Linked DNA regions of Xenopus tropicalis. The protein of the gene in region 1 interacts with the protein of each later gene in a biochemical or structural test. Links are inferred from orthologs where the notes say so. Each region holds a gene or a part of one and is shown in the gene's direction. Other genes may lie near its edges.

Region 1 (10,959 bases):
AGCACCTGGGCCATCCTTTCTACTTTAGTGAGTCTTTTACAGTTTATGGATGCAAGATTGTCAGCCATGTTCACGTGTTTGATGGTAGTGACAAGCCACATTATAACGTTGTAGGAGGCAGTGACGGGTTTGGGCACTTCTGCTGAATGTACCCCAGCAGAGAATACATCCCGTGTACCATAGCCCTAAAGAAAAACATTGTTACAATATCATCTCCACACTGCCTAAAGTCACAGGACTCTCGCATCATGTGTATAGCAAAACACAACAGTATCAGTGGAAGATGCTGTAACAGTGACATAATAGTATGTATTAATAGGCAAAAAAGCATCAAGGGATAAAGCTGGAACTGTGGGACAAAGAACTGCATGGGTCCAATCAGACCTGGAACCCCAACCTGTCACCCACTGGAACTGAGGGACAGTGCGTATAATGGCACTGAGGGACAGCGCGTATAGTGATGGAACTGAGGGACAGCGCGTATAGTAATGGAACTGAGGGACAGCGCGTATAGTAATGGGACTGTGGGACAGCGCGTATAGTAATGGAACTGAGGGACAGCGCGTATAGTGATGGAACTGAGGGACAGCGCGTATAGTAATGGAACTGAGGGACAGCGCGTATAGTAATGGAACTGTGGGACAGCGCGTATAGTGATGGAACTGAGGGACAGCGCGTATAGTGATGGAACTGAGGGACAGCGCGTATAGTAATGGAACTGAGGGACAGCGCGTATAGTAATGGAACTGTGGGACAGCGCGTATAGTAATGGAACTGAGGGACAGTGCGTATAGTAATGGAACTGTGGGACAGCGCGTATAGTGATGGAACTGAGGGACAGCGCGTATAGTGATGGAACTGAGGGACAGCGCGTATAGTAATGGAACTGAGGGACAGCGCGTATAGTAATGGAACTGTGGGACAGCGCGTATAGTAATGGAACTGAGGGACAGTGCGTATAGTAATGGAACTGTGGGACAGCGCGTATAGTGATGGAACTGAGGGACAGCGCGTATAGTGATGGAACTGAGGGACAGCGCGTATAGTAATGGAACTGTGGGACAGCGCGTATAGTGATGGAACTGAGGGACAGCGCGTATAGTGATGGAACTGAGGGACAGCGCGTATAGTAATGGAACTGAGGGACAGCACGTATAGTAATGGAACTGAGGGACAGTGCGTATAGTAATGGAACTGTGGGACAGCGCGTATAGTGATGGAACTGAGGGACAGCGCGTATAGTGATGGAACTGAGGGACAGTGCGTATAGTAATGGAACTGTGGGACAGCGCGTATAGTGATGGAACTGAGGGACAGCGCGTATAGTGATGGAACTGAGGGACAGCGCGTATAGTAATGGAACTGAGGGACAGCGCGTATAGTAATGGAACTGAGGGACAGGGCGTATAGTAATGGAACTGAGGGACAGCGCGTATAGTAATGGGACTGAGGGACAGCACGTATAGTAATGGAACTGAGGGACAGCACGTATAGTAATGGGACTGAGGGACAGCACGTATAGTAATGGGACTGAGGGACAGGGTGTATAGTAATGGAACTGAGGGACAGGGTGTATAGTAATGGAACTGAGGGACAGGGTGTATAGTAATGGAACTGAGGGACAGCGCGTATAGTAATGGAACTGAGGGACAGGGCGTATAGTAATGGAACTGAGGGACAGCGCGTATAGTAATGGGACTGAGGGACAGCACGTATAGTAATGGAACTGAGGGACAGCACGTATAGTAATGGGACTGAGGGACAGCACGTATAGTAATGGGACTGAGGGACAGGGTGTATAGTAATGGAACTGAGGGACAGGGTGTATAGTAATGGAACTGTGGGACAGTGTGTATAGTAATGGAACTGAGGGACAGTGTGTATAGTAATGGAACTGAGGGACAGTGCGTATAGTAATAGGACTGAGGGACAGTGTATAGTAATGGAACTGAGGGACAGGGTGTATAGTAATGGAACTGAGGGACAGTGTGTATAGTAATGGAACTGAGGGACAGCGCGTATAGTAATGGAACTGAGGGACAGCGCGTATAGTAATGGGACTGTGGGACAGCGCGTATAGTAATGGGACTGTGGGACAGCGCGTATAGTAATGGAACTGAGGGACAGCGCGTATAGTGATGGAACTGAGGGACAGCGCGTATAGTGATGGAACTGAGGGACAGCGCGTATAGTAATGGAACTGAGGGACAGGGTGTATAGTAATGGAACTGAGGGACAGGGTGTATAGTAATGGAACTGAGGGACAGCGCGTATAGTAATGGGACTGAGGGACAGGGTGTATAGTAATGGGACTGAGGGACAGTGTGTATAGTAATAGGACTGAGGGACAGGGTGTATAGTGATGGGACTGAGGGACAGTGTGTATAGTAATAGGACTGAGGGACAGGGTGAATAGTGATGGGACTGAGGGACAGTGTGTATAGTAATAGGACTGAGGGACAGCGCGTATAGTAATGGAACTGAGGGACAGTGTGTATAGTGATGGAACTGAGGGACAGGGTGTATAGTAATAGGACTGAGGGACAGGGTGTATAGTAATGGAACTGAGGGACAGTGTGTATAGTAATAGGACTGAGGGACAGCGCGTATAGTAATGGAACTGAGGGACAGTGTGTATAGTGATGGAACTGAGGGACAGTGTGTATAGTAATGGAACTGAGGGACAGCGCGTATAGTAATGGAACTGAGGGACAGCGCGTATAGTAATGGAACTGAGGGACAGTGTGTATAGTGATGGAACTGAGGGACAGCGCGTATAGTAATGGAACTGAGGGACAGTGTGTATAGTGATGGAACTGAGGGACAGGGTGTATAGTAATAGGACTGAGGGACAGGGTGTATAGTAATGGAACTGAGGGACAGTGTGTATAGTAATAGGACTGAGGGACAGCGCGTATAGTAATGGAACTGAGGGACAGTGTGTATAGTGATGGAACTGAGGGACAGTGTGTATAGTAATGGAACTGAGGGACAGCGCGTATAGTAATGGAACTGAGGGACAGCGCGTATAGTGATGGAACTGAGGGACAGCACGTATAGTAATGGGACTGAGGGACAGTGTGTATAGTGATGGAACTGAGGGACAGTGTGTATAGTGATGGAACTGAGGGACAGCGCGTATAGTAATGGAACTGAGGGACAGTGTGTATAGTGATGGAACTGAGGGACAGGGTGTATAGTAATGGAACTGAGGGACAGCGCGTATAGTAATAGGACTGAGGGACAGGGTGTATAGTGATGGAACTGAGGGACAGTGTGTATAGTAATGAAACTGAGGGACAGCGCGTATAGTAATGGGACTGTGGGACAGCGCGTATAGTAATGGGACTGTGGGACAGCGCGTATAGTAATGGAACTGAGGGACAGCGCGTATAGTGATGGAACTGAGGGACAGCGCGTATAGTGATGGAACTGAGGGACAGCGCGTATAGTAATGGAACTGAGGGACAGGGTGTATAGTAATGGAACTGAGGGACAGGGTGTATAGTAATGGAACTGAGGGACAGCGCGTATAGTAATGGGACTGAGGGACAGGGTGTATAGTAATGGGACTGAGGGACAGTGTGTATAGTAATAGGACTGAGGGACAGGGTGTATAGTGATGGGACTGAGGGACAGTGTGTATAGTAATAGGACTGAGGGACAGGGTGTATAGTGATGGGACTGAGGGACAGTGTGTATAGTAATAGGACTGAGGGACAGCGCGTATAGTAATGGAACTGAGGGACAGTGTGTATAGTGATGGAACTGAGGGACAGGGTGTATAGTAATAGGACTGAGGGACAGGGTGTATAGTGATGGAACTGAGGGACAGTGTGTATAGTAATGGAACTGAGGGACAGCGCGTATAGTGATGGAACTGAGGGACAGCGCGTATAGTGATGGAACTGAGGGACAGCGCGTATAGTGATGGAACTGAGGGACAGCGCGTATAGTAATGGGACTGAGGGACAGTGTGTATAGTGATGGAACTGAGGGACAGTGTGTATAGTGATGGAACTGAGGGACAGCGCGTATAGTAATGGAACTGAGGGACAGTGTGTATAGTGATGGAACTGAGGGACAGGGTGTATAGTAATAGGACTGAGGGACAGGGTGTATAGTGATGGAACTGAGGGACAGGGTGTATAGTAATAGGACTGAGGGACAGCGCGTATAGTGATGGAACTGAGGGACAGTGTGTATAGTAATGGAACTGAGGGACAGTGTGTATAGTAATGGAACTGAGGGACAGCGCGTATAGTAATGGAACTGAGGGACAGCGCGTATAGTGATGGAACTGAGGGACAGCGCGTATAGTAATGGAACTGAGGGACAGTGTGTATAGTAATGGAACTGAGGGACAGCGCGTATAGTGATGGAACTGAGGGACAGCGCGTATAGTGATGGAACTGAGGGACAGCGCGTATAGTAATGGAACTGAGGGACAGTGTGTATAGTGATGGAACTGAGGGACAGGGTGTATAGTAATAGGACTGAGGGACAGGGTGTATAGTGATGGAACTGAGGGACAGGGTGTATAGTAATAGGACTGAGGGACAGCGCGTATAGTGATGGAACTGAGGGACAGTGTGTATAGTAATGGAACTGAGGGACAGTGTGTATAGTAATGGAACTGAGGGACAGCGCGTATAGTAATGGAACTGAGGGACAGCGCGTATAGTGATGGAACTGAGGGACAGCGCGTATAGTAATGGAACTGAGGGACAGTGTGTATAGTAATGGAACTGAGGGACAGCGCGTATAGTGATGGAACTGAGGGACAGCGCGTATAGTGATGGAACTGTGGGACAGCGCGTATAGTAATGGGACTGTGGGACAGCGCGTATAGTAATGGAACTGAGGGACAGTGTGTATAGTAATAGAACTGAGGGACAGGGTGTATAGTAATGGAACTGTGTATAGTAAGGCAAAACAGTCTGGGGCCATGAGGTAATCCCAGCCAAACTATCAACTCCAATCCCTCCCATCATTGCCAGGGGATGCTGGGAATAACAAATCAGCAGTAGCACCATAAGGGCACTTGTACAGTACCTACAGTACCCCTTTGTGCCACACGCTTTTACAGTGCCAGGTATAACAGTGCCAGGTATAACAGTGCTGCATGGGGTCAAATTGACTTACACCCTGTTCTGAGCCGGAGGGCAGTTTCAGCCCTTACAGTACTTTATCTATGTTGCGATTCCGTTATACACAGGTGCCACACAATGACATGACTACCCCATATAGACGAAACCAGTCGCAACAGTAAACAACCCCCAGAGCCAGCGAGCCCAGTCCTACACACACACCCCAGCCAGCGAGCCCAGCCCGCCCTGACTAACAGCCTAAGGAATGAGCCGCAGGCCCCGCCCCCTCCGCACTCCTTGCCGCCGCTTGCATGCCCTGTTCACGCGTTGCCGTACGGCTCCCATTGGCTGGCCTCTCCTGTGACATCATTCCGCCGGCCAATGGCAGCTGTGTGCATGAGGTGAGCATGGGGAAGCCGTCGGGATACACGAGGTGGGCGGAGCTAGAGCGCAGAGGCGGGGTTACGTTGGGCTATATCAGGCTGATTTCCTGGTGTTGTTTACAACCTGTAGGTTGGAAAGTGTGGGACCTGCTAACCAGTGCAACTCTGTGCAGGCTTAGAGAGATCACACACTACTGAACTGACACTGAAGTGAAACTAAAATTCTTTGCTTGTTTGTGTGATCCTTACCTAAGGACTATTCTTCATTGCTTGCAATTCCATTGGACTCCTCATTGCCAAACAGGTTGCCCCCTGCAGCCCAACTGTCTTCTCAGGCTTCTTAGTTGCCCATTGGAATAGAACTCATTGTCATCATGGTTGTCTTCAAGAAAGTCAAGTGCTTCGAAGTGTCCTTCGCCGACCCGCAGAAGGTGTACTGCGGCGGGGAGAAGGTAACCGGCAAGGTCCTGGTGGAGGTGGCCGAAGTGACCCGGGTGACAGCCGTCAGAGTGTTGGCTTGTGGAGTGGCCAAAGTATTGTGGTCCCAGAACTGCAAGCAGGAGATGGAGTACTTGAGATTTGAGGACACCTTGCAGATGGAGGAGCAGCCTACAGGTGAGAAGCAATGTTGGGGCCAAAGGTGGGAGGGAAAGATGGAGGTACTGTGAGTAGTTTGGAGGGTTGTTTATCTCTGCATTGCTGGGTTGCCTGATGCTTTCAAAGAGCATTACGAGCATGATAGGAAGTGGGTTTGTAGTCCCTTTAAACTGCATGACGGCTATGAGGATGTGGCTCTTTATACCCGACGACATACCCCTTTGCGTATGTTGATTTCCTATCTGGTGTCCCTCTGTGCTTGGTGGCACTGTAGTAATAGACTCATTAAATGCACCGCTATGGTCATTAAATGCCCCGCTATGCAGTGTCCCTGTAAGCATCATCTGGACTTGAATTTGGGACTTGGCAAATATTCCTGGTATGCAGAGCCTGCTACTGGAAGTGCTGTGTCCTGCGATCCTATTGCACTGGCTCAGTACTGTAATGCACACTGTATGTGAGAAATATGATGCTTGTGTGAAAACTACAGAGGCTATTGGCAGGACATCCCGATCTGCACTGGTGCACGGTTGCCATGGCAGGGTGTGTTAGTTTCAGATCAACCTATTGGATTCAGTCCATATCGTACTGGGAGATTAATAGTATCTTATAAAGAAGATTGTCCTGTCCCTTTCTGTTCAACATAAGGCAATAATGCTACACGCAGTTAGCAATTCAGCATTTTGTGATTCCTTGACAAAACTTTACCAAGCTATAACTTCATTTCTGTGTCTCTTGTTATCTTAAATAGATTCCGATGGATCTGTCATTATGAGGCCAGGCAACTTCTATGAATACAAGTTCGGTTTCGAGCTGCCCCAAGGGTAGGTATCCTGCTTTTATTAAATGTAGCAATTACATTTATCTGCTTGTGTTTTGTTTTTTTGTCTGTTTTATTTTTGTATATCAAGTCTTATGGTCCTGTATCTCTTTGCAGTCCTTTGGGGTCATCATTCAAAGGAAAGTATGGTTCTGTGAAGTACTGGGTTAAAGCTTTCCTCGATCGGCCATCCCATCCTCCCCAAGAAGCACAGAAGCACTTTCAAGTTGAGGACTCTGTGAATGTAGACACTCCAGATCTCATGGTAACTATATTTTATATACTAAGTCCTATAGATCTTATAGTTATGTGCAGTCATAGAAATAAAAGTATTCAATGGTAAAGTTACACCTTATTGTATAAAGTTGCAATACCCAGTTGCAGGTAGTCTTGCATGCTTGGATTATCTGAGGAGTGATCTCCTGCCCTTTCAGCACTCATTATAGGTCAGGTTCATTGACAGAGCAGCTAATGAGTTTATAGATTAGCCCCAGGGTCAGAGGGTCAGAGCAGTAGCTGGTGTCCTGTCTTTAGCAGCTCAGTAGAGCATCACTAATCTTGTTTGTTTCTTCCTGGCAGTCACCAGTGTCTGGCAAAAAGTACAAGAAGATGACGTGCATGTTCATTCCTGATGGCCACATCTCTATGAGTGCCTGCATTAACCGCAAGGGATTCTGTGAAGGTAAGGTTCTTTGTTTAATGTAGATACAGAATTTATGTTTGTATGTTTGGATACTTGTGTACACAGAGCTGTACATTAAAATTATACACTGATAGAACTGATGGGGGATCAATGCAATTACAGAATATAAATAACTACAACAATATATATTTAAGCATTAGCTCAATGGGGCAGGTTCCTCCATTCATTTGTCTCTAACCATCTAAATGATATGTGGTACATATGTATGTATAAGGTTTCAAAGAAGACTCCAAAAAACCTAAATTAAATAAGGTCAGAATTGCAGGTAGAAAAGACAAAATGTTGCAGACAACTAGTTTTTGCATAAAAAAAATGGCTTCCCTCTCAACTAGATTTACCCTTCTTTTATAGGTGAAGACATCTGCATCTCTGCTGACTTTGAGAACACTTGCTCCCGCATCGTTGTCCCCAAAGCTGCCATTATATCCAAGCACACCTATCTGGCCAATGGCCAGACCAAAGTCTTCACTCAGAAATTATGCAGTGTGAGAGGCAATCACATCATTTCAGGCATGACTGACTCATGGAGAGGGAAGAGTATCCGTGTACCTAAAATCAAGCCTTCCATCTTGGGGTGTAACATCCTGCGTGTTGAATACTCCCTGCTGGTAAGTTTTGGCTTAAGTCAGATTGGTTGTTGCAATGTCATCTAGTGTAAATGGAAGTGTCTAGCAAGAAGTATGAAGCTTGCTTAAGTCTACCAACCCATGACAACTCCAATCAGATGGTTCCTTTATTATTTTAACCACCCTAGACTATTCAGAGCTAAATGATGGTTGGTTTCTGTGGGTAACCAACTGAAAGGAACTTGATCAGCATAACCCACCAAGATCTTTGATATGATTACTGAAAAAGTCAAGTGAGAGTAGAAAGGGAAATAAAATCCAGTGCATTGCAGTGATAACTTACTACTCTTCCTTTTACATTGCAGGTCTATGTCAGCGTCCCTGGTGCCAAGAAGATCATCCTCAACTTGCCCCTTGTCATAGGCTCCAGTTCTTCTGGAATGAACAGCCGTACCTCTAGCATGGCAAGCCAGGCCAGCTCTGAGATGAGCTGGATTGAACTGAACATCCCAGGCACCCCAGAAGGTGTGTTTCTTAAAATATTGCTCTGTTTATTGTTCTTTTAGACCAACGTGTTGTATTCAGACTAAAGTCTTATGCATTATTCCTGTTATTTCCCTCAGCTCCTCCAGGCTACCTGGACATTGTTCCTGAAGATCACAGACTGGAGAGCCCCACCACTCCATTGTTGGATGATTTAGATGGAGCCTGCGACAGCCCTATCTTCATGTATGCTCCAGAGTTTAAATACATGCCCCCCCCAACCTACACAGAGGTAAGCTTCTTCTATTGATACTACTTGGCTTGTCCACTTGAATTAGCACAACTTAATCTAAAAAATGAGATGGCTAACCTTTGGCTAAACTATTTGTATTTTTTCTTCATCAGGTTGATGTCAACAAAAACACATGTGTGCAGTAAACCGAAAAGCAGAAACCACCAAGGATGTTCATTCTTTTATGTTTAAATTCTTCACTTGACTACTGTTACACAGTGGCCATGTGGTAGCTGTAAGTGGCCTTTTCTTCAAGGGCTTGGTTCAGGAGCTTGAACCAAAGACAAGGAAAGACTTTCACACTTGCCTTAAACCTGCATCGCCTGATTAAGATGTGCCATGAAGATAAAGAGCGGTCTGCTTTATGCCCTTTGTGGGCAAGAATCTGTGGCCAATGGTGGATATGAGGACATTCGAACACACATAGTATTTGATCACTGAGAGCACACACAAAGACTGATAATTAAGCAACACCAAACTGTTAATGAGTCTGAATGGTGTGATTCTTACTTTTCCCCCTCCCTGCCCTCTTATTTATAAGCAAGGGTCAAAGGATTTCAAATGACTATAGAATGCTAGTCTACCTTTTCTACTGGTGCCTTATGAAGTAGGGCTATAGAAGTCACGCCAGAAAGCATTCCAGCGAGGGCATTAACTCAGAGGACAGAGATGGATAGTAACTTTACTGGCCCTTTTGATATGTTGAAGGGTTTAATTATGTAAATGAGGTGATTAAGAAAATCATGAGAAGCTGGCATTAATATACCCTACAAATGCAATCCCGCAATTATGTTTTCCGAATCCAATAACCTTCTGCGTGTATATCTCTAAAAAACAGGATATGCATGCTGCATGATCCTTTATATATTAACATGCAAAAATGTTGTCCTTTTTTGTGACATTTGTTAGTATTCTCCTGTTAGAAAACAGTGTTAAGTATTTTTGTTTTTCTTTGTAAAGCACTTTCTAATTATTCTGTGGAATGTTTAAGCTATTATAAAAAATTTTTGGGGGGAGGGGGTTGGGCATATGTAACCACTACAGAATGGCTTCTCCTTTATATTGTTCAGGTCTTAGGGCAGGTTTCACTGACCGTCCAGCTATAGTGAGCTAAAAAATATTCTGATTCTCAGCCTGTTGCATAACAGTGTCTTAGGGGGCTTTTGTAAAATTGCAATGATCTCCGGAAAATGATCAGCTTTAATTGTGACATCACTTTCTCAGTCTGTACAATGATTTAAGATGTTTGAAATCTACTGCAGATCTTGAAAGGAAACGTCACCATTAATAATATCTGCCTTTGGGACACGCATGAAATCATTTTTGTTATCGTCCCGACTGGCAGCTTTTAGTTTCACTGTATAAAGGGCTATTTTTATCTCGTTAGTCGACATACAGTATTCTGTAATGAAATAGAAAAAAAACGCCAGTCTTTCAATGCACTTAAGCCTAATGTTGCTGCCTACTATGCTATTTTTAGCTTTCCTAAAACAAGGCTTCCTTTTGCATTGATGTATGAAAATGTGTTTTTGATTTTTCCGCCCTTCCCTGTTCGAACATTCTTGACCTAAACGTTTGCAGACTTCTACTTGTATTGCAGATTCTTGGAGCAAGCACTTAATCTCTTGTACTGTAACTTAGCACTGCAAAACTTCTGTGTTTCCTTGGGGAATGTATGCTTGCACCGAGGAGGGTTTTTTTTTTTTTTTCTTTTGTAAGAGGAATATTCATTGCTGTTTTTGTATATCAGTTACAAAGATTATTATTATATTTTGTACTGTGAAATGTTGCCTGTTTAAAGGCAATATTTATTTTTTAAATAAAGATAAGAAATATATAAAAAAAAAAACTTGATTTGTTTATGAATGAATGTTGGCACTAAGTGTAATTATCTAACATGATTGGATTTCCTCATGTAATCCACGCTAACGTTACAATCCTGGCTCTTGCCAGTTGGCAAGCGTCGGCTGTGTTGATGCCATCATGTAAAACAGGTGGCAATATTTGTCTAGTTATAATGTAAGC
Region 2 (9,070 bases), on another chromosome or scaffold:
GTACCAGTGCAGGAATGGCTGCCCCCGGGGCTACACAGCGGGGTATTTATATAAACTATAGTAGGGTTTCTGTAGCAAACACCCCAGCTGTACCAGTGCAGGAACGGCTGCCCCCGGGGCTACACAGCGGGGTATTTATATAAACTATAGTAGGGTTTCTGTAGCAAACACCCCAGCTGTACCAGTGCAGGGCAACAGTGCATTATAATTTTATTACTTTAAAGCTCTTTCATTTTTTTGGTGTTACTGTTCCTTTAAGAGGCTGGGGCCCACTGAGTGGCTGGAAGTTTCCCATAGGGCAAATAAGATGTTGCAGGCAGGACCGTGCGCTTTACCCTGAGCGCTTGCATCATGTTACACGCAGCAGCCAATCACATGGCTCGGCCCGTGGGGACTGGAATTTCAGCAACTTGGACTCGTTCACCCCGAGCCCAGGGAGGATCAAGTTACTGCCCCGGCAGCTCCATAACAGCTGATTAACGTCACTAACCAACCCCCCCCCCCCCCCCCCGGCCCTGCCCAGCTGCTCCTGCCCCTGCCCCCTGCTGGCCGCTGCTAAGGCTTCTGGGAGTTGTATCTGTGTGTTACCTGCGCTGCTAAGGCTTCTGGGAGTTGTATCTGTGTGTTGCCTGTGCTGCTGAGGCTTCTGGGAGTTGTATCTGTGTGTTACCTGTGCTGCTGAGGCTTCTGGGAGTTGTATCTGTGTGTTACCTGTGCTGCTGAGGCTTCTGGGAGTTGTATCTGTGTGTTACCTGTGCTGCTGAGGCTTCTGGGAGTTGTATCTGTGTGTTACCTGTGCTGCTGAGGCTTCTGGGAGTTGTATCTGTGTGTTACCTGTGCTGCTGAGGCTTCTGGGAGTTGTAGTCGTGTGTTACACTGCTCTCGGTGCCCCTTTTCCCCCAGAATGCACTGCTTTCTGTACGTGACTCCCAGGGGCAGATTCATCAACCCCCCCCCCCCACGCAGCCGTTTCTTATTAACCCCATGAATGCTGACAGGAAAGGGTTACTCGTATGAGTGAATATAGAAGTGGGACGCCATTACTGCTCTATGGGGCGTTAGAGTTCAGCCGAGCGCTAACTCCCCTCCTGATTGTTCATGTCCGACGCCAATTGCCCGCGTTATGGGATGAAATGGTTAAACCTAAATTCCAGGTGACCGTTAACCCTTGATGTTCCCGCAGGTGATCGAGGGCTTCTACAATGCCACGTGGCTGGAGCGGTACAACGAGCCCATCCCAGAGTCCACCCTCACCTCCCTGTGGTCCCTGTCCGTGGCCATCTTCTCTGTGGGCGGGATGGTCGGCTCCTTCTCCGTGGGGCTGTTTGTCAACCGATTCGGCAGGTAAGGGGGCGGCCCTCCAGCTAAAGGGGAAATAAACCTCCCACGGAAATGTTGGACCTTGCTCCACTACTGGACTACACCTTCCAGGATATTTAGTGGGGGGCGGGGGGTCACATCATGGTAGTGCCAGGTCCGTGCCCAATGGCCAATAAGGGCTGAGGAATTAATGGCCTGACGTGTGCCTTTCTCCTCTGAACCCCAGGCGCAACTCCATGCTGATGGCCAACGTCCTGGCCTTCCTAGCCGCCATTTTGATGGGATTCTCCAAGCTTGCAGTCTCCTTCGAGATGCTGATCATTGGCCGGTTTGTGGTTGGACTCTACTGTGGCCTCACCACCGGTTTCGTGCCAATGTACGTCGGAGAAGTGTCCCCCACATCGCTGCGAGGAGCCCTGGGGACCCTGCACCAGTTGGGCGTGGTGGTTGGAATCCTTATTGCCCAGGTAGGGGGACAATCTCATGACCATGTCCATCTGGTTGGGCCGGGGCTTTTCCTGGGTACTAAAGCTTTTCTGTTCATTGTGTAGATCTTCGGGCTGAAGCCAATCATGGGCAACGACTCCCTGTGGCCCTTCCTATTGGGCTGCATATTCATCCCGGCCATATTGCAGTGCATCATGCTGCCCTTCTGCCCCGAAAGCCCTCGTTTCCTGCTCATTAATCGCAACGAGGAAGACAAAGCCAAGAGCGGTAGGTCTTTCCCACGTTACCGTGTGTGTAGGCATCTCAGTAGGCTTCAGGTCTCATCATCTCCCACTCCCTCTCTCAGTGCTGAAGAAGCTCCGCGGCACCACCGACGTGAGCAGTGACCTGCAGGAGATGAAGGAGGAGAGTCGGCAGATGATGCGGGAGAAGAAAGTCACCATCTTGGAACTGTTCCGCTCCCCGCTCTATCGCCAACCCATGTTCATCGCCATCATCCTGCAACTGTCCCAGCAGCTCTCTGGGATCAACGCGGTAAGGGCACCGTCAGATGTCCTACTGGCATCTCTCTATCCCCCCTGTGGAACTCAGTAGTGTAGCAGCCCCTGCTGGTCAGCATGAAGCATTGCAGCTAATTACCCTTGGCGGTTCCCTTATAGAGGGCAATAAAACCGCCCCACTCTAGGAATAACCCTAGTGAGTCTTGGCGTCTTCTGATTCATCTTCACTGGTTGATCCGCCCAACTATAAATGGTTCCGGCTCTAGTACATGAAAGTTCTAGAACCAAAAGGGCACAATGCTCTTTGCTCGGATGAGCTCTGTTGGACCCAACCAACCAACCAACCGGCTTTGTCTTCTTGCAGGTCTTTTACTACTCCACCATGATCTTCCAAAAGGCCCAAGTGGAGCAGCCGGTGTACGCCACCATTGGCGCGGGGATTGTGAATACGGCCTTCACCGTCGTGTCGGTGAGTTGATGGGAATCGAGTCCTTGTAAGGGGGTTGGGCAGCTCAATGCCACATACAGGGGCATATTCAGAGGGGTGTGGGGGCAACATATAGATCGCAGCTTCTTTATACAAGTCTTTTTATCCCCACAGCTGTTTGTAGTGGAACGGGCCGGCCGGCGAACCCTTCACCTCATTGGACTGGGCGGAATGGCGGTTTGTGCCATCCTGATGACCATCGCGTTGGCCCTGCTGGTAAGCCCGAGGGGCATATATGGAATGGGTGGGCAGAGGAGGGCAGTTGATATGCCTGGATAGCTGATAACACTCATTGTCTCCCCCTACAGGACAGCGTCGGTGGCATGTCCTATCTCAGCATTGTGGCCATCTTTGGCTTCGTGGCCTTCTTTGAAATTGGCCCGGGGCCCATCCCATGGTTCATTGTAGCAGAACTCTTCAGCCAGGGCCCCAGACCCGCGGCCATCGCAGTCGCCGGCCTTTCCAACTGGACTTCCAACTTTATAGTGGGAATGGGCTTCCAATATGTAGAGGTAAGTGGCCGGTGAATTGGTCTGTGTGGGGGACAGTGGGGTTGTGTGGGAGTTGTGGGTCTGCCAATCAAACCAGCAGGGAAGGGATCCTGGTAATAAAGGAGGAAATATACATCATTCCCATGATTGGGCCCAAAGGGACCAGTCTGGGGTCAGAAAGTCCTTCCATGGAAGCCACTAGATCCACCCATGGAAGCCACTAGATCCACCCATGGAAGCCACTAGATCCACCCATGGAGGCCACTAGATCCACCCATGGAGGCCACTAGATCCACCCATGGAGGCCACTAGATCCACCCATTGAAGCCACCAGATCCACCCATGGAAGCCACTAGATCCATCCATGGAAGCCACTAGATCCACCCATGGAAGCCATTAGATCCACCCATGGAGGCCACTAGATCCACCCATGGAGGCCACTAGATCCACCCATGGAGGCCACTAGATCCACCCCTGGAGGCCACTAGATCCACCCCTGGAGGCCACTAGATCCACCCCTGGAGGCCACTAGATCCACCCCTGGAGGCCACTAGATCCACCCCTGGAGGCCACTAGATCCACCCCTGGAGGCCACTAGATCCACCCCTGGAGGCCACTAGATCCACCCCTGGAGGCCACTAGATCCACCCCTGGAGGCCACTAGATCCACCCCTGGTGGCCACTAGATCCACCCATGGTAGCCACTAGATCCACCCATGGTAGCCACTAGATCCACCCATGACTCCCCAAGGCTGTTGGGCGGAACAAGGCTGGAATTTCCCCTATAGCTCCCATTATTGGGGGGCACTGAGTCTATGGAAAGACTTCCCATTGTTGGGAACGTGGCCCCTCAGCCAGTAGTGGGGCAGTTGCCCCCAGTATCCCAGTGTGTGGGGCAAAATCCTCAACATTTTCTCTCTTTTACTTCTACAGCAACTGTGCGGCGCCTACGTCTTCATCATCTTCACCGTCCTCCTCCTCATCTTCTTCGTCTTCACCTACTTCAAGGTGCCGGAGACCAAGGGGCGCACCTTCGACGAGATCGCCTCCGAGTTCCGCCAGGGCGAGGGCCAGATGGTCAAACAGGCGGAGGAGCTGAACAGTTTGGGGCACAACGCCGACGACTCCCAAGTGTAACATTTCTACCCCCCCCCCCGGCACCTACCTCCTGTTGTTACCCCCCTCGTCCCCCCCTTCAGTCGTTACTTGCCCCCAGGCCCGCGGTTGGTCGGCCGCCGTTTCCCGGAGGAGTCTGGGAGTTAGCGAGAGGGGGCAGGGAGTTTATTTGGATGTATTTGCCCCTCCGGCCACACGGCCCGACCAGCCACAAACATTAACTCACTAATTTCATTTCCACGTGTGGCCGACATGAAGGAAAGAGAAGGCGGAACCATAGAGCTCTATATATAATGCTAGATGGCTTCGTTATTTTAATGGATTATTTTTTTAATTAGTGTGAGCTTTTCACGTAAGGAAGATTTTATCCCGGGATTCTGGGCAGTGGGGGGGGGGGCGACCCCCCCGATCACCTTGGACTCTGTTTACATAACGTAGTATTTTTTTATGGTTTAGTTTTCCTTTAATATTTTTTGAGAAAGTGTAATGGCACCAAAAGGCTCGTTTGGACCCGATATATATACTGTATTGTGTGTGTGGGCCCCGGGGGGGGGGGACCCTAATTAGCGGTCCCTGACACTGGGTCACATGGGATTGGGGGGGGTATCTCCTCTGGCAAGATGTGGGGATCGGTCCTGGGGCAGCTAGAACCGAGGGGGCTCTAGAACGGAGCTGTTATCGAGGGACAGATTCGGTTCAACTGATGATGTTCTAGAAACAGACTGGGGGGGCAATGAAAACCTGTTAGGGGGCCCCCAGATGGACAACTCCAGACGTTTCCCAGCACCGGCACTTTACTCAGGCGGTGGGCACTGTGGCAGCTGATACCCCCACTTGTGGGCATTATGTGACCCCAATGAGACCCCTAAAACAGTAGAACGAGGGGACGTGGTCCCTAGTGGTGACCCTGGGTACTGCATCATTTCCAATAGACAGGGTGCCGGGGGGGCTTGATCCCCACTTCCTGCCAGAGACCCCCCCCCCCCGAATCCCATCTCGCTCGCACTCACCCAGGGATGTTCCCATAGAGGAGACAGGGTGGTTACTAGGTTACGGGGGGGCTCTTGTACAAGGTTGGGGGGGGGGGGGGCGTTTTGCTGTAGAACTTGACATTCCGCATGTTTTTGATATTTGCAGCTGCTGTTTTGTTAGGGGGGGTGCAGAGAGACCCTGGGGGGGTTTATAAATCAGAAGCAGGGTGTTAGAATCCTAGGGGCCCCCCTAGGGGGGAAATGACAAACTGCAGTTAAACTGTGGGTGGGGCTTCACTTACTGAGCAAGTGACCTATAATAATAACTGCCCCCCCCAGGCCCAGTCTCTATAGGTCGTTTCCATGGTAGGGGACAATGTGGCAGTAAATGCTAGACCCAGGAGCTGGCACTTAGACTGGCAGTCAGTGTGAGCCCCCCTGCACCCCCTTCTATGGAGCCAGTGTAGCAATTGGGTTATGGATCATACACTACATGGGGCCCCCCCGGCCCCCCCTTGTACAGCCCCAGAGCTATTTATATATATTTATAGGTATAAGTATATATATATTTTTGTCGGATGGCGGTTCTGATGATACCGGAGCAATGACGATAACGTACTGTAAATATTTATTTTAGTCACATGGTTTGTTTTTTTGCACAATAGGTCAAAGCTGATAGGTCAGTTTTTATCAATGATGAGAAATGAAATCTGCGCTGTTATTATTATTCCCGCCCTATTGGCTGTATTTGTGGCGCCCGGGGCCCCAACGTTACTGTTCATTATTCCTGGGGCCCCGGTGTAGTTGCCCTTTATCCAGCATATAATGGGGGGAATAATAATTTATATTGAGGCTCCACCCAGAGACTGATCATTGGCCGCACAGAACGTTCCCTATATGAGTATTGTGTTTCTATGGATACGTGGGAGCTGCCATGTTGCTGACACGGCCATTGTTCATAGACTAAAGCTACACCTATCCTTAACACTAGGTGGCGCTGTTCTGCCTATGAGGAATGGCTGAGGCTCGTGGTATTGCAGCTCTCACTAATAAGTATAAAATACACAGTGATCCTCCTGTTGGACAAGAGACGAGGACTATTTCCCCTTTAACTCAAGGGATTGTGGGAAATGTGGATTTTGCTATGAAGCCCCCGTGTCGGTGTGTGTTTGTACCGGGTAATCGCCGCTCATTATCCTCACACTCGTTACTGTTGTTCTAGAGAGTTTGTTTTTTTATTTATTGTGAGATTTTGTCTCGAATTAAAAATTGATGAAGAATTTTGTGTCTTCTCTTTGCTGTAAATGAGGGGAGATCATTATCGGGGGGTCTCTGTGTGGCTGGTGGGAGGTGGGCAGGACTCTGAGGGAAGGGGCAGTGACATAAAAGGGGGCGGATAGGGTGGGGAGATAGAGAGGCTGCTGGGGGGAATCTCTCTGCCATTAGTCACATGGTTGGAGAAGGGGATTATGGGATATGAGGCCTGGATGCTGAGGGGAATCTCTCTGCCATTAGTCACATGGTTGGGGAAGGGGATTATGGGATACGAGGCCTGGCTGCTGAGGGGAATCTCTCTGCCATTAGTCACATGGTTGGAGAAGGGGATTATGGGAGATGAGGCCTGGCTGCTGAGGGGAATCTCTCTGCCATTAGTCACATGGTTGGAGAAGGGGATTATGGGATATGAGGCCTGGCTGCTGAGGGGAATCTCTCTGCCATTAGTCACATGGTTGGAGAAGGGGATTATGGGATATGAGGCCTGGCTGCTGAGGGGAATCTCTCTGCCATTAGTCACATGGTTGGAGAAGGGGATTATGGGAGATGAGGCCTGGCTGCTGAGGGGAATCTCTCTGCCATTAGTCACATGGTTAGAGAAGGGGATTATGGGATATGAGGCCTGGCTGCTGAGGGGAATCTCTCTGCCATTAGTCACATGGTTGGAGAAGGGGATTATGGGAGATGAGGCCTGGCTGCTGAGGGGAATCTCTCTGCCATTAGTCACATGGTTAGAGAAGGGGATTATGGGATATGAGGCCTGGCTGCTGAGGGGCCATTGGTGCATACAGAATAGGGGCCCAATAGCACCGACACGGCCTAATAATTCGGATCCTAACGTGCAGACTGCCTATTCCCTCCCCCTGTGTCACGGCGCCACCTGGGGGCAGTAAGTGAGAGAAATTGGCTGCGTCGCCATAAAGCAAATCCCAGCGCCACCAGGGGGCAGTAAGTGAGAGAAATTGGCTGCGTCGCCATAAAGCAAATCCCAGCGCCACCAGGGGGCATCGCACAAACCGCTCATTAGCATATGCAAATCAGCAGGAATCGTGGGAATGAGTCATGTGCCTCCGACATTTACTATTTCTATAGAAGCAAATGTGTCGGAACAAAAAGATTCGGAGCGGAAAGTTTCCCCCTACAGACGGAATGTTCTGTATCCCAAGGCCATCGGAACGGAATATTCTGACGGGGAGAGAATAGAAATAAACAGCCGCGCGTTTGTTACACAGAGATAATCCTGCGGCCAATGGGCTGCTGTCTGGTTCCCATAGGCTACTAACTGCCCTTCCCTACAAACTGCCCTTCCCTACAAACTGCCCTTCCCTACTTACTGCCCTTCCCTACAAACTGCCCTTCCCTACAAACTGCTCTCCCTGGGAATAGTCTCTCCCTATTATTAACAAGAGGCTGCAGCACAATGGCTGGCACCTAAATGGGTGGGGCTGGGATAAGGGTGTGGCTTTCTGATGGACTCCGCCTACATAATTTCCTTTTCCAAGGGCGACCGTATCATTTTAGCTGCTAATGTGGGTCAGTTAGACTGGTTTGGCCACTTGTCTGCCTCCGATTGGCCTCCCCGCCCAACATCTGGCCTGAGATTGGTCATTCCTGATTGGGCAGGTTTGATTTTTACATCAGGTTGGGCATTGTGTTGGCTCCTTGATGCAGTGATGGTGCCTATGCCGCCATTTTAATTTGATCATTTGGCCTTAGGGGCATATCAGGAGAAGGTAGATCTTACAGTGTATGGAAACTCTAGAGAAAGAGACCTCAGCCTTCAGTAATAAGGGCACAATGGGGGAGAGTAAGAAGGGCACAATGGGCGAGAGTAAGAAGGGCACAATGGGCGAGAGTAAGAAGGGCACAATGGGCGAGAGTAAGAAAGGCACAATGGGCGAGAGTAAGAAGGGCACAATGGGCGAGAGTAAGAAGGGCACAATGGGCGAGAGTAAGAAGGGCACAATGGGGGAGAGTAAGAAGGGCACAATGGGCGAGAGTAAGAAGGGCACAATGGGGGAGAGTAAGAAGGGCACAATGGATGAGAGTAAGAAGGGCACAATGGGCGAGTAAGAAGGGCACAATGGGCAAGAGTAAGAAGGGCACAATGGGCGAGAGTAAGAAGGGCACAATGGGCGAGAGTAAGAAGGGCACAATGGGCGAGAGTAAGAAGGGCACAATGGGAGAGTAAGAAGGGCACAATGGGCGAGAGTAAGAAGGGCACAATGGGCGAGAGTAAGAAGGGCACAATGGGCGAGAGTAAGAAGGGCACAATGGGGGAGAGTAAGAAAGGCACAATGGGCGAGAGTAAGAAGGGCACAATGGGCGAGAGTAAGAAGGGCACAATGGGCGAGAGTAAGAAGGGCACAATGGGCGAGAGTAAGAAGGGCACAATGGGGGAGAGTAAGAAGGGCACAATGGGGAGAGTAAGAAGGAGGGGGGAGAGTAAGAAGGCCACAATGG

Evidence for each region.
Region 2: the proteins of txnip (region 1) and slc2a1 form a complex in vitro, tested with the Homo sapiens proteins (2 studies listed by BioGRID). The link is inferred for Xenopus tropicalis from reciprocal best matches to the Homo sapiens genes TXNIP and SLC2A1.

Annotation. Positions count from the first base shown.
Region 1 is NC_030684.2:128,520,624-128,531,582, reverse strand, and holds txnip (thioredoxin-interacting protein), read left to right. Parts: upstream 1-5,847; coding exon 5,848-6,088; exon of another isoform or gene 6,089-6,420; intron 6,421-6,821; coding exon 6,822-6,894; intron 6,895-7,007; coding exon 7,008-7,155; intron 7,156-7,469; coding exon 7,470-7,572; intron 7,573-7,944; coding exon 7,945-8,201; intron 8,202-8,524; coding exon 8,525-8,684; intron 8,685-8,782; coding exon 8,783-8,934; intron 8,935-9,047; coding exon 9,048-9,080; 3' UTR 9,081-10,526; downstream 10,527-10,959. UniProt on the Homo sapiens protein: May act as an oxidative stress mediator by inhibiting thioredoxin activity or by limiting its bioavailability.
Region 2 is NC_030681.2:36,092-45,161, forward strand, and holds the end of slc2a1 (solute carrier family 2 (facilitated glucose transporter), member 1), read left to right. Parts: intron 1-1,183; coding exon 1,184-1,344; intron 1,345-1,546; coding exon 1,547-1,787; intron 1,788-1,871; coding exon 1,872-2,034; intron 2,035-2,113; coding exon 2,114-2,301; intron 2,302-2,631; coding exon 2,632-2,736; intron 2,737-2,868; coding exon 2,869-2,970; intron 2,971-3,062; coding exon 3,063-3,266; intron 3,267-4,178; coding exon 4,179-4,382; 3' UTR 4,383-6,609; downstream 6,610-9,070. UniProt on the Homo sapiens protein: Facilitative glucose transporter, which is responsible for constitutive or basal glucose uptake. Has a very broad substrate specificity; can transport a wide range of aldoses including both pentoses and hexoses.